Linked DNA regions of Lepisosteus oculatus. The main gene of each other region encodes a partner of the protein of the gene in region 2 in a complex. Links are inferred from orthologs where the notes say so. Each region holds a gene or a part of one and is shown on either strand. Other genes may lie near its edges.

Region 1 (7,773 bases), on a different chromosome or scaffold from region 2:
CCTGTAATAGCTGCACAGGCCTTCTGCACGGCTTTTGTCTATCATCCTGTTATTACAATATATTACAAGAGAGGCCTGATTTTTCTTTTTATGACCCCTATGATCTTGATTGTAGACCCACAGACTTTCTTCCCGTTAAGCAAGTGCACTCAACGTGCTGGAATCATGACTTAATAGCTTCTGTGTACTTCTAAGAAAGGTCCATTGATGTGGATTAACAAAATATCCCAGTGATCTTTGAAAAGAAACATTGCCTGCCTGCAGCTTCCTTAACGGGGCCCGTATTTATTGTGCCGGCCTGCCTGTGGCTCTTCTTGACCCAGAACGTATGGCAGTGTGTCTGAAACATCCATGCTGGTGTGAGAGCCTACGCAACAATACATCAAAGTTTAATACAAAATAAAAGCAACGTTGACAGCTTGCATGAAATTGGCCCTTTTACACGCACAAGCTTTCATGAACTCTAGCCAGGGTCTAGCCATTAAACAGGTGAGTAATCTTCGCTTTAGATAACTCACCTGTTTAATGGGGGCTGCACATAGAAAGTCACCCAGACAGCTAAAATTAGACCTTTCAGGCTTTTCTGTTTCTCTGTTCTGATCCTTTCTGCTCATTGCGTGTTGAGGGATTTATGCTGTTTCAGTGCAAAGTGACAGAAGAGAGGAAGCAGAGGTGCCCTAGGTACAGTATCAGTCAGGGGCAGGCTGGATGCTACTATTCCCACTGGCATTTCAGTCCAGCCTCAGATGTAGCTGATCGATAGGGGATCAATGAGGCACAAGCCCATACAGCACACCTTGGAGACTGTCTGCTCAGTTACCAAGCACAGGTAATTTAAACAGACCTTCACACACAGAGCCCATTGCTTAAAGGCCAGAAGAATCAGGAAGAAGCACAAAGGCACGAGTGCTTCATTCTTTTCTGGCACTACTGAGTTATTCTGCACAGATCCCTTCAGCACCCTCTCCTGTCGCAGGGTACACTGAGCCCGACTGCTACAGCCTGTTGCATTAGTGGCTCAGTGTCTTCAGTAGCAAGAGGACTAAAACCATAAAAATCATGAAGCCGCTCACACAAATGACTGAAATAGCTTGAAATTTCTAGCAAACTAGGAATGAACTCAGAGCATTGATCTAAAGATGAAAGACTTCACACCCACTGCCTACACGCCGAGCCTCTCTTAACACCTTCCCTCGACAGCAGACATCAGATGCATGTTTAGCACAGACAGATGTAAGCTTCAGTGACGCTCAGTATTCTTTCAATGGAGTTAACATTGCAAGTGGCATGCACTGGCACAGAGGAACGGAAGCTCAACCTGCAACAAGCAACATATTCCTGCTTTGCACTAAACTGCACTTCTCCCGCCTCTGTCTAACATCCTGTAGTGTTCTGTGCCTAATGGTGCCACCCTAGGGCATGTAAAATGACACCTTAATGTAGGCTGGTCATTTCCCATTGAGTCATGTAAAAATAGAAATGGTATTGTGTGGGTATAATGCATGCGTGCAAGCATGGATAAATATTTCTTGAAGCGATGCCTAAAATGCATGTGTACCCACACATACCACTCACTGCCCATTAGTACAAGGGTGTCATTACTGGCAATAATCTAGGAATTTACCGTATCTCCCTTGCTCATTTTTACACTAAACTGTTACTGTGCTTTGCTCTCACAGCCTGGATCTTGCTTCAGCAAACTGTATCCTTCCAAACCATCTGATTTCCTAAAATGCACTCCTGCATGTCAGTGCAACAGCTTTTGCAAATCAAGAAAGTGCCCCCAGCCTGGTGCATGACTCTCACTGAATGCAATTTTATGATTTACATTCGCACCTTTGTGTGTGAGTGCATGTGTGTATTACATGAGTCAACCTTAACCGCGATCGTGGTCCATCTGATCTGCAGTGACACCATACTGTGCTTCTCTGTGTGACAAAGCCGTCAAATTTCATTCACCATGGTTTAAAAGTCAGCTTCTACTCATAATGGAAAACATTCAGTCTTCTGCTCATATGCAAATAAAAACATGTCCACCCAGAAAGACTTCTTTGGCACCAGAGTGGCAATTGAATACTAGGGTGTGATTTTATAAAATGTCAATATACACACACATAAATGTATATAACATGCTCATTATATATAAATACACATAAATAATACCTACATGTTCTCTGACAAGCTTGGAGGTACTCAGAGCAATTTTGTTCTATTAATGTCAGTATATTGCCAACAGAGGAGCAGCCCCATGCAGAGATTAAACCTCTCAGTCTGAACAGAAGCATTTTATCTGTGAGATAAGCAAGTTATAATAACAAAGCAATCGATGCCCATTCAAGTTGATCAAATAAAACAAACAAGCCACAACAACAGAAACTAGAGAACCACTGCACTGCAGTACAGCCCTTGACCAGGTGCTAATACTCTCAGGGTTCGAAACACTGAGGACTAACCGGTTATGTAGTGGATTAACTACAGATGCCTGGCTGAGCCTGTGCTGTCAGGAGGAGAGAAAGAATTCTAGAGAGCCTGAACGCAACATCCAGAGCTCCCTGACTTACCGGCACTGGCAGAGCACAGCAGAGACACCAACAGCACAATCACCAGTGTCAGGATCTTCACATTCATTTCTGCACTTCCCTCTGGCACTCCGTTAGTCAGTAGCTGATATAGTGCAGCGTGCGCGCGTGTGCGTGTGTGCGCGTGTGTGTGTGTGAGAGAGAGAGAGAGGGAGAGGGAGTGTTCTCTCCTGAGGGGAGACTGTGTGTGCGAATATGTATGAGTGTGTGTGTGTGTGAACACTCGTCCAGACCTCTATCTATATATGTATTTGTAATGTATTTATATATCTGTGTGCAAGCCTGACAGCGCCACGCCGAGACTGAAGGCACGTCTCAGTCTGAGCTCTCCTGAGGAGGTGTGTTTCTGTTAGAGAAAGGCTGCTGGTGCCAAGTTCAGCAGAGCTGTGAATGTGTGGAGCAGCAGCCTGCAGCAGGTTTTTGTATGTGAGCTGTTTGCCTTGAATAAGAAGCCCAGTCGGTCATGTGGCTTATGTATCATTGACTCTCTGGGTCACGGAAAAGGGGCCTCCCTGTTACCCCCCCACCTAATCGACCCTCCCACAGAGGACACAGAGACAGGGGGAGAGGGAGAGAGAGGGGGAGAGATCGTGAGTGAGTGAGTGGTGTTCGGGGTTATTATAATAACAAAACAGGGTCTTGTTAAAAAGACATTTCCAGTTCTTTTTGGGAACTAGGAATCCAAAAATTAAGGTGAAGCGGGAGCGAGGGAGCAGAGAGGGAGAGAAAAAGTTATTTTCCTTTTGTCTCTTTCCCATCTGCACAGAACAAGTCTCTATCCCAGTTCTCCCTCCTGCCCCCCAGCCTTGTTTCCTTTGACAAATTGTATGAAATAAATACTTGAAAGTTATTAACCCTCCTGCCACAGAGCCAACTGTAGGGAAACAGCTGACAAACTTCAGAACTCTGCACAAATTCCCCTGGATTGAAAACTTAAATAGTAAAGGCATGATATTCAAAGTTTTTTTTCTGGACTAAAATTAGATTTGTATCTTCAAAATTTTACAATCTTTCAGAAATGTAGCTTTGCAGAGCAGAATAATCTACTCCTGTGCACAAGTTTAACCCGTTTCTTTTTCTCCTCCAGAATTTGGTTTTGAAATATTTTCCTTGACTGAATTTTTTTAATCGAATTTGAAAATACACGACTATTTATTCAGAAAAATAGATCTTTTCAGCATCCATTGGAGAAAAAGGGAAAACTGTTTTGAACAACAACATCAAGAACAGCAAGTCCACATCACCTTTACTCTGCGACCGATGTTGGAGGTTTACATGAGCCAGCCTAGCAGTGCAATCATTTGTATATAAATCACACAGATTACAATAGTCACAGGTCATTGAACTATAAATGTGCCTCAATTGAATAAAAACACTAGAAGCAACAGCCTGGTGAAGGTACTGTCTGCACAGTTGTAATAATGTAAATTGAGTTTGGGTACATTTTGCTGTGCTGTGTCTCAGGACACTCTGAAACATATATAGACTTTGAGCCTAAGAAATATATCAGTGCCAGACAGCATGAAAAACTACCCCATTGCTTAATGAAAAGAAAAGAAACAGCATTTCAACTGCTGTGCTATGCTGGTACTAATAATAAAGTTCAACTTCTTGTGTCAGTGAACTTCAACAAGTACACGTGCAAAGCATTACAGAGCGACTGTAAATGCTGTAAAATCCCTTGTCTCCTTTTACTGTGAGTTAATCAATAGGCCTGCGTGAATATTTGAACTCCTCAAGCGAATAAAAGGGTTAACAGTTCAGATGAGAAGCAACGTGTTCTGACTGCGTTCAACAGGAATGCAGAGAAAACAATGCTGGTGTACTTCATGCGTGTTGGTTTGAGTTCACTCCGGTTTAGGAGAGGAAGCAGCAGTGTGTCGGATCTCACATGCGTGTGCAAGGTGTGGACAAACCACGGGAGGAGACGATCTAGTCGGGAGAATTGCCTGTGCTCGCTACGACTGCAGGCTCGGCCACTGCGAATTGGTCTGCGTTTTGCGCTGTGAGACAAGAAAGAAGGTGCTTCTTCGTGATCGGGAAGGCAAGACGCAAGGACCCCTGCACCCTCTGCAGTCTGAGGGATCTCCCCGGTGGCCCGGCTTCTGAATGCAAGAAGTAAAACCGGATGACTGCACTGTGCCTGGCCACAACCCCAGATAGTCCAGCTCCTGCTCGCCGGGCTCACATGCTAGCTAAAGGGTGGCTGGGTTGTGCTGCCCTTGTTTCCACCTGTCAGAGAGGGCATTGTGACGTGTCTGGAGGCTAACATATACATGGACCTGGCACCCACTTGAAAATGAAGAACAGGAGTACCTTACAACCTTTTTCGCCCACTTCAGTGCCTAATCAATTAGCCTCAGGGGTCACTGAGATGCTGTCTACTGATTCTTATCTACATGGCTCTTTTATTTTGCCAGGAGATGTGCCAAGCAGCGTTAAAGAGATGCGCTGAATGTCACTCTCTGCGGTGTTTTCTAGGGAAGATGATTCATTGCTCTGCGCTGGGAGAAGCCAACCCTTTTTGAAGATTCTGTCAAGCAATCCTTTACCTTGTCTTTGCTTTTTAGTCAGTTTGTTTTTCAAAATGCACCCAAGCCTTTCAGTCTCCGTGTGGGTCTCCTTGACTGCATTGCGCTTCATCGTGTCGCTTGAACAGGTTTCCTCCTTAGTGCCGAGACTCGTCTGAAATGAATGACTGTTAAGCCACCTATCTGCATTATCCAGTTAGCTTATCGACATTTGTTGTTGAATTTTATAATGATTGAGTCAGGAACCATCACGATACCCAGGCAATAATTGTGAGAGTGTTGAGTAATAAAGTTAAAACACTTACGTATTGCAAGGGGAGGTAATCAAATTAAGCACATTTCAGTGTCACTAACAATGACAGTGTGTGCGATGCAATGGTGCTGAAGCAACAAGTCATTTCTGACCCCTGAGGACCTGACTTCCCCTTCAGTGGCTTTAGAAGTCGTGCTGTAAAGATGGCCGCCCCCCCTACAAAGTGACACAGCTGCACAGACCATGAGGTTTCTGTTTAAACTCACATGGCCTCCGTAGGAGAAGGGCTGTACACCAGTAGGGTGTGGACAGACAAGTGCTAAATGTGAGAAGGGTGAAAGGGATGGAGACGTGTTAGTGATAACAGTGACCTAGCTGAGTGTGTTTCCAGGATTGTCTCCCCTGGCAAAGTGTGTGCATGGCGGGAGTCTGTGATACCGCTGGAGACTGCTCCACCACAAGCCCTTGGCGGTGTCCCTCTGTAAGGAGACCACGCGTGCATGCACATGGGCCCAGAGCAAGGGCTGCAGTGGGGCGTCTCACGGTTCCGGACTGTGAGCTCCGGCTCGCCCATCTTGTAGGGGCTCCCACCTTCAGAGCCTCACGCCTGTGCCCTGTGAAGGAGGCCCTGGGAGACGGGGATTGACGAGACAGCAGGGTCTGCGTGGCTTTGCAGGGAGTGCCCAGAGACCCAGCCAACATCGTGGCATTGGCAGGGCACCAGTACCATGTGGAGCATGAGGATGTGCCCTACCCTTGACAGGTAGTTGGCGGAGAGTTTGCCGATGTGTTTCTTTATTGCACAAAGAGAGGTGAGACCAAGCTGCTAGACTGTGTTGTTAAACTTATTATAGTAATAGTAATAATAATAATAATAATAATAATAATTGCTTACACTTATATAGCGCTTTTCTCGACACTCCACTCAAAGTGCTTTACAGGTCATGGGGATCCCCTCCACCACCACCAATGTGCAGCATCCATCTGGATGATGCGACGGCAGCCATAGTGCGCCAGAACACTCATCACACATCAGCTATCAGTGGGGAGGAGAGCAGAGTGATGGAGCCAATTCATAGAGGGGGATTATTAGGAGGCCATGATTGGTAAGGGCCAATGGGAAATTTGGCCAGGACGCCGGGGTTACACCCCTACTCTTTTTGAGAAACACCCTGGGATTTTTAATGACCACAGAGAGTCAGGACCTCGGTTTTACGTCTCATCTAAAGGACGGCGCCTGTTTACAGTATTGTGTCTCCGTCACTATACTGGGGCATTAGGACCCACATGCACCGCAGGGCGAGCGCCCCCTAGTGGCCCCACTGACACCTCTTCCAGCAGCAACCTTAGTTTTTCCCAGAAGGTCTCCCATCCAGGTACTGACCAGGCTCACACCTGCTGGGCTTCAGTGGGTTGCCAGTTGTGAGCTGTAATTTAACTTAATGCCCTGGCAGTCCAGTGGGTCGAATAGCCATGTGACCTCTGGTTCTGATTTCTGTGCTTTTGCTTTTTCTTCTCTCTTCCGCGGCCTCGACTGGGTTTCTTTGGTTTGCTTATTTTTCTGGTACAGCTGGATAAGTGCGTTCCTTTCGGAAGCGCAGGGCGACCCGTTCTGAGGGATGGAAGAGCTGCCCGGCCGCCCCACGCCGGACATGATCAGCGGGCACACGCTGCATTTCCTCGACAGCTGCCCCCCTGCAGGAAGCTCTTGAAGTTTACAGGAAAAGGGCCGATAAAAGAATTCCAGCAAGATATCCGTTTTGTGAGCTTGACGACGCAAACCATCCTCTCGCCGGTGGCCACTTAAAGAGTTTTTATTGTCTCTGTGAAGTGAACTCTTCCTGAATTGGGGCTTTATTAATAGTTTGAAACTTGTCCTTTGCTGGACAGCTGAAGTCAAAATTTAGATCTGGAAAACAAAGTGTTGTTTTCCCCCAAGAAATTCACGTGTGATAATGGGAAGACATTAGCGGGCTTTTGCTTCATACTTTGCTAAACTTCCTCTGTTTTTCTTCTTATATTTGGAGTGATACAGTAAGTATGTTTGTTTCCTGCAACACATCTGTTTGCAATTTTACCCTGTGAGTCAAGCACCTTAAAACAAAAGGAAGCAATCGGCCATTAATTTTTAATATGCAATTAATACTGTTTGTGTTTTAAACAACCTTTCCCTTAATGATTAAATAAAGCCTGATGTGCATCTGCTTCAGAACACCTTGAAAGATGCCTACGTCAAACAGGTAATATCTGGACTTAAACCTCTTGTATTGTCTGTCGTGCATTTCTCTGGGTGTGCTTGAAGGCACTGGAATTTAAAGAGAGGGCCTTTTGCAGCAGGGCTGAAATTAGTGCAGCCCTCTGGGTATTTTCTTCTCTTGCTTCATTTGACAAATTTCAGGAATCAGAGACC
Region 2 (6,992 bases):
AGACTGGGCCCCCCTACTCTTCAGCATTTACATGTTCCGACTCGGTCAGCTATTAAGATCACATGGTCTGAATGATCAGTTCTATGCTGATGATACTCGAATCTATGTCCATACTTAAACTGACATTGAAGTGGCTGTCCCTGCTCTGTCTAAATGCATCTCTGACATAAAAACCTGGATGACTCAAAACTTCTTTAACTTAAACTGTGACAAGACTGAAGTCATGCTGCTCTGCACCTATCATCAATTATGTAAAGCTAATGCAGTAACATTGTCTGTGGATGGTACTGTATATGAATTTCAATCTAAACTGAAGAATGTGGAGGTGATATTTGATCCAGGGCTTGATTTTTGACCCATATGTGCAAAATATTGTAAAAACATTTTTCTTCCATCACAGATATATCACCAAGCTACATCCTATGTTGCCTTTGACTGTTACTGAAAAGCTAATCAGCACATACAGTATGGTTCTTTCTGAATGAATTACTGCAACACCCTTCTCACTGGGGTATCTAAAGCTACACTGAGAAAACTTCAGTATGTCCAGAATTCGGCAGTCAAATTTCTCAGCACCTGTTTGACTTATCTTCCTGCTCCCAACATTGCAACCTTCATTCGTTGGACTCGTCTGACGTCTGACAGGGCCTCTTGCTAAACGCCAGAGCTCTAAAATTCTGCCCCCAATGATATCAAAGAGTCAGAGTCCGAGCGCTTTCAAATCCTGAGCCAAAACCTTCTTCTTCAGAAGGGCTTTTTTCTAATTGGCTCTGTGTCTGCCCCATGCATCTAATTCTGCATTTTAAATCCTTGTTTTTGATTGTGCTAATTTTTTTCCCACTTTTCCTTGTTAACTTTTATTCTGGCTGTAAAAGGGCTTTAAAGATGCTCTATAAAATAAATTATTAATATGATCTACCTAAATGTCCCCTTTATTTCCCTTTCTAAAGTACTTTTTGATACTTCAATGAATCTGTTGTGTAGTGGAGCTGCTGTACATCACCCAGTTAGGGTGCTGCTCTTCAGTAGTAGAGGTAGTGACTCACTGCTACAGTATTTTAGTAAACACATTATTCACAAATTGATAATGAAAAATTCCCTTGTTTACGTTCTTAATCCCTTTCATTACCATGGATGTCTGTCTTGACTGTTCTCACTCTTCCATTTCCAAGTTTCGTTTAGAAGGTAATTTTCAACAAAACGATGAGAAAATTCCATAAAAACGGAGGCTGTTGCTGACAAACGGAGACGAGCTTTCTGTAGCTCCCTCTTGTGGTGCCGGTGAGACCTGCAGAAGCAGAACAGGGTTTAGCGATGAGGGTTTTGAACCACAGACTCTGCAAATCGCTTCTCAAAGTGAGACATTGGAAGAGCCGTTGCAGAATATTGTTGCTCCTGAACTCCTTTGTTTTATATGCCTTAAATGTGTAGGACACTAAAACGTGACAAACCAAGTTTGGCAAACGGCAAAACATAAATACGATGCAGGCAAAGTTAATAAAAAGGGCAAACTGATACTTACCCAACTTGCCGATTATAGCTATAGCTTGTTTTAACGTTTTATCTTTTATAGAATACATATTTTCTAATGTGGGCATTAAGCTGCAAAACGCTCGAAGGTGGGAGACGCTCATGAAATTACTTCACACTGCTCGCCGGGACAGCAAAGATTTCCTGAAGAAATCAGCTCAGAGCTCAGCGCGTTATGTAAGAACACCGCTCTCAGGCTGACGCCTGAAGACAGTCATGAAAATAAGACACTATTCTCTTGAAATGGGCCCAATTAAATACAGTAGTAGTAAAACGTGTCGTGTTTTTTACGTGATGTTAAAAACGATCAAATACGCGACTCGAGAGAATGTATATCAAATCCTCCTCTACAGCTTAAGGAGAGCAGCTACATGCACGCCCGTGTCTCACTAAGAACCGTTACTTGATATATTTACACACTTGCAAAAAATCGAAGTAGTTTCAGAATCCGCTGGTGTATTTTATGTTCTGCAATCTTGTACTTCATATAGTGTGTCGTTTGTACCGGGATATAATGAAAAGTGATTATCTAGGACGGTATACAGAGATGTCCCTCACTTAAAAGCACCCGACAACCTTCAGTTTCGAAGGTACTGTATTCTGCTCTGACCTTTTTCGTTGCATGTTAAACATAAACTGAAGCTCTAAAATGACAATAAGACAAGGTATTATTTTTCATTAAATCATAAGCACCATCAATCATTTTATGAATTGTTTTGTTTTTCATTACACCCACCTCCTGTCTCTATAGACATTTTGGTTTTGGCAGTCTGCTTCACAGAAAAGAAGAGGCAGGCCATGTAGCATTTTCAGTGCTGATATGAGGTCTCAAACTCAGAACATTCGGTGATCCTCAGTCATCATCAGTAGGACACGACAGTAAATAAACGAACTGGGCTCCCCTGTTGATTGGCGATTAAGATAATCAAAGGCAGTCAAACCGCTCTTCACCTGGGCGCTCTTTGTCTTTTGTTTAATTAATCTCGAGACTTGAAAATTAAATCAAGTCCGGACCAATCCCGTTATTTAAAGCAATTGAGTTGTCACAAAATATACCATGAATTATTTACATTTCTATTAATGGACGTTAACGTTCTTACTTATTATCTCTTACGTAGTCTTATGGGTGGACAGAATGTAGTGATATATAGAGTTCACATCCTTTTACAGAAAAGAAAACCTGTAGAAAATTGTGTAACACGCGCGGATTATGCCATTTATAGGTTTTATTTAGAAAGCTGGGGTGAGAATTCATCAATTTCCCTGCTTCCAATCCGTTATTAAGGTTCTCATTGAGAATTGGGGTGTTTCTATAGCAATACACAGGTAATCTACAGGTTATTTTCCTAAAGGTACTGAGAAAGTCCGTTTCTATCAATCCATTTTATATCAAAAGTAGATCGATGCTGAATTTCAGGGGTGAATGACAGTCGTCCCTTTTCATGTGGAAAGCGCTTTGAGATCAGTTGAGATGAAAAGCGCTATATACAGTACACGTAAATAATTATTATAGTAAATGTGATTTAATTAGAAGTGTTGTTACTGATTTCAGCTGTCGGCCTCCCATCTTGTTTTTTTTTCTAAAAGAAAACTTTAGAAGCGGAAAGTCATAAGTGCCCGTGTCTGCTTGTTTTTATAGATCTCCAGTTTAGTTCAATCTAACGCATTAAAACCCAACACTTCATATGCAAAGCAAAAGCAGGAAAGAACTTGAATACATGTGAGAAATTCAGAGACATATCTTAATTCTGTTTGTTCCCCATTTCTAACACCTGAAATACGATGCGCTTTTGGTATTTGAAGGTATGGGCACAAGCGGACAGCCGCGTGTCCTGTAGACTGACGACCAATGTTTTTCTCATTCGATATTAAATGCTTTTACTTTTTCATTTTAACGAATGCTTGCATAATTAAAATATTGCATCGATTCCCGACATCTGTTACGTGTGACAACGACACGGCAGTTCACACCTCCCGTCTCCGCGTTTGTCTTTCCAGTCAGGCTCCTCTTGCTCGCTCAAGGTGTCGCTCGTTTGTCGACTTGCTCTGGCAGGCTCTCGTTTCCAATAAAACTACAGTAATGCGGCTATTTAAAAAAAAAAGTTTGTTTTTCTCGAGAGATCGCTGGCTACCAGAAAGCCGCAGTCGTCTGCCTGTTTTTATTTCTTCTGCCAGCTGCGCAGAACTGTAATTAGACACGAATTGTTGAAATAAGGATCTTTTGCCACGGCTGAAAAAACAGGAAACTTCCAGTGTAGTGGGGGATAGCGCATCCCAGCAGACACCCTCTTAAACTTTCATACGCAGGAATGCCCTTTCTTTCTCGAATCCTGGTGCTCATATTTTCATTTGTTATTTGGTTATATGCTTGCTTGCTTTATTGCAGCAGACGGAAAGAAAAAAAGACAGTTAATAAAGCATCCGGGCATGATACATTTTTATATGAACTGATTCTGTCTGACATCAGCGCGCGTGTGCTCGAGTATTAAACGGGATAGCTAATGGGTCATATCTGAGGCTTTAATTGGCCTTTGAACAGCATCTCTTAAGTTGGTTTTTTTTCTGTTAAAATCTGTCGTGCTGAGGTTGCCCGTCTCTCGTTTTGCGCTTGTGCGATGACCGTCCACTTCTCGCACAGGGCGGAGACCACAAGCGGCCCCAACTGCGCGCCGGCTGGGTGGGAGAGATAATGTATCTTTCCCCCGCGACTGTGTGGCTGGGCGGGGGAGAGGGGAGAAGTGATTGATGGCACGATTAGGGGGCGTTTTAGACCTGTCCTGAGAGGGAAGGGGGGAGTGGAAGACACAGAGTTTAAATAGCAGCCCACAGCGCAAGGCAGACACATATTGACTGGAGTTTCCAGAGGTTGCGCTCTCTCACTCTCTCTCTGGAGCCGAGGGCATTTTTTTTCCTTACTTGAGCTGAGGCTGAAGGCGTGGATTTCTACCCAGAAATGGAAGAGGATTATGACTACTACGAGGACAACGAGACCATGTGTGATTACTCAGAGTGGGAGCCCTCCTTCTCCCTCATCCCAGTGCTGTACATGCTGATTTTCATCCTGGGGCTGTCCGGGAACGGAGTGGTGATCTTCACCGTGTGGAAGTCCAAATCCAAGCGCAGGGCGGCCGACATTTACATCGGCAACCTGGCGCTGGCAGACCTGACCTTTGTGATCACCCTGCCCCTGTGGGCAGTGTACACCGCCATGGGCTACGATTGGCTGTTCGGGGTGGCCCTGTGCAAGATCAGCAGCTACGTGGTGCTGGTGAACATGTACGCCAGCGTCTTCTGCCTCACCTGCCTGAGCTTTGACCGCTACCTGGCCATCGTGCACTCGCTGTCCAGCACCAACCTGCGGTCCCGGCCCACCATGATCACCTCGCTGGGCGTCATCTGGCTGCTGTCCGGGGTCCTGGCCGTGCCCACGCTGCTGTTCCGCACCACCCTGCAGGACGAGGCCAACAAGACCTCCTGCGGCATGGACTTCAGTCTGGTGACCCTGAACCGGGAGCATGAGTCCCTGTGGATCGCGGGCCTGAGCCTCTCCTCCTCCTTCCTGGGCTTCCTGCTGCCCTTCCTGCTCATGACCGTCTTCTACTGCTTCATCGGCAGCACCGTCACCCGTCACTTCAACAACCTCCGCAAGGAGGACCAGAAGAAGCAGCGGCTGCTCAAGATCATCACCACCCTGGTGGTGGTCTTTGCCCTCTGCTGGACCCCCTTCCACGTGCTGAAGAGCCTGGATGCCCTCATCTACCTGAAGGTGCTTCCCCAGACCTGCGCCCTGCTGAGCGTCCTGCTGCATGCTCACCCATACACCACCTGCCTGGCCTACGTCAACAGCTGCCTCAACCCCTTCCTCTACGCCTTCTTCGACCTGCGCTTCCGCTCGCAGTGCCTGTGCCTGCTCAACCTGAAGAAGGCCATGCACGGCCAGATGAGCTCGCTGTCGTCCACCCTCAGCGCGCAGACCCAGAAGTCCGAGGTCCAGTCGCTGGCCACCAAGGTGTAGGGAGCCCCGCTCGTGGGGCGACAGACTGTGTGCACGGAGCCGGCGCGCAGATTCCCGGACTGAGATCACCTTCCCCCCACTGTGGGAGAAAGGACTTTGAAAAACTGAAAACCCGGTCTGCTCGCTGGGCTGTAACACTTGGAAAACCCGATGTGTGGACTTGTTCTGTTATTGGGGTAACCCCACGCGCTTATACCTGGGCTACAAGGGGTTCCCCCAACAAACAACGCTGGGGCCAGCTGGCTGTGCCTCCAGCTGCTTGCGTTGTACAAATTTTTGAAAGAGGTAAATGTGTTTCAAAGACTTGTTTTTTTCTGGCTTGCCTTTTTTTAAAAAAAGAGTACATGCTGTAAATTGCTGTAAAGAATTCAACCAGGGCTGAATTCTGGACAGGAGGAGTGAGATGAGAGGGAGGTCATAAGTTGTTGGCAGTGAAGTTTCAGCCTGGTCACACTGGGAAAGAAAAAATGTCCCGAGTGTTTTCCATGTTTTTTTGTGCTCTGTTGCTGTCGTACTGTTTCCTTAGCACTTGTTTAAAAGAGGAAAGATTGTGCAACCCATTCTCCACTTTTGCTAATCTGTGCTAATGAGGGAAAGGGGCCAGAGGCTGGTGAGTGTGATTAGAAGGAAGGTGTTGCAGTTGAATTAACATGTCGGACGACAGAGGTGGTCGGGCAGGCAGATGGCTGTTGCCAAATGTTTTTCCGGGAGGGGGAGCAGAGGTCTAGGAGGTGATGGCTATGAATTGACTTGAATGCACTGTTGTAACATGACTTTGGAGCTGGGGTGACTTATCATCTGTAAGTGGCTTTTGCTGTGAATGTCTCAGAAATTAAGGATTTGTATTATGGATTGTATGTTTTTGCCTGTAACTAACTACTGTATCTGGATGCTTTTTAGCATTTCCTATTTGTAAATAAAAAGTGTTTTTAAAATATTCCTCTTAACTTTCTTCAATCCCCGCTGGTCGTGTGAATGTTGTGTTGCTGTGTCTCTTCCCACACTTGCTCATTTGTGCAGTTGTTTCAGTTCTTGAAGACGAGAGGAACCGAGCGGCCTGCTGCTTTAAAAAAAGCACAGGGAAAATAATGACTGCAGTTCTTTTGGGATATTGAGCTTTTCCAGGAAATTCTTTTTCTTGGCTGAGTTAAAGCAAGGGTGTCTCAGCAAGCCCGCCAGGCACGTTAAAAATGCACTATAAAGGAATTAGAAAAAGAAGCAGAGTCTGGTCTCTAACTTTTAAACATCTGCCTGCAGCAATGTGGTCAAGCAGATGTCAATAATTCCCCAGACATTATGTGTTTTTTGCCAGAATATGAAGAAAGTGACAGGTGGGCTTGAATCTTAAGGTAGAATAGTTGACTTAATACTGGAAAAATGGGGCAGAGTTCACACTACTGTTAGAGTGGAAAGTTATAGGACCCTTTTAATAGATATTACATCACTT

Evidence for each region. Proteins that work in one complex are often made in the same cells at the same time.
Region 1: the proteins of aplnra (region 2) and apln are in contact, whole or in part, in a cryo-EM structure (PDB 8XZG), measured with the Homo sapiens proteins. The link is inferred for Lepisosteus oculatus from reciprocal best matches to the Homo sapiens genes APLNR and APLN. Residues at the interface, in NP_005152.1 of Homo sapiens: Tyr35, Phe78, Trp85, Tyr88, Thr89, Tyr93, Ser106, Ile109, Phe110, Met113, Pro163, Val164, Arg168, Gln180, Cys181, Tyr182, Met183, Tyr185, Glu194, Glu198, Leu201, Gly202, Ser205, Tyr264, Lys268, Tyr271, Ser275, Cys281, Asp284, Leu285; in NP_059109.3 of Homo sapiens: Arg66, Pro67, Arg68, Leu69, Ser70, His71, Lys72, Gly73, Pro74, Met75, Pro76, Phe77.

Annotation. Positions count from the first base shown.
Region 1 is NC_090703.1:50,476,085-50,483,857, forward strand, and holds the start of apln (apelin), read right to left. Parts: upstream 3,005-7,773; 5' UTR 2,629-3,004; coding exon 2,562-2,628; intron 1-2,561. UniProt on the Homo sapiens protein: Peptide hormone that functions as endogenous ligand for the G-protein-coupled apelin receptor (APLNR/APJ), that plays a role in cadiovascular homeostasis. Functions as a balanced agonist activating both G(i) protein pathway and beta-arrestin pathway of APLNR.
Region 2 is NC_090717.1:13,926,379-13,933,370, forward strand, and holds aplnra (apelin receptor A), read left to right. Parts: upstream 1-4,348; 5' UTR 4,349-4,483; coding exon 4,484-5,545; 3' UTR 5,546-6,482; downstream 6,483-6,992. UniProt on the Homo sapiens protein: G protein-coupled receptor for peptide hormones apelin (APLN) and apelin receptor early endogenous ligand (APELA/ELA), that plays a role in the regulation of normal cardiovascular function and fluid homeostasis.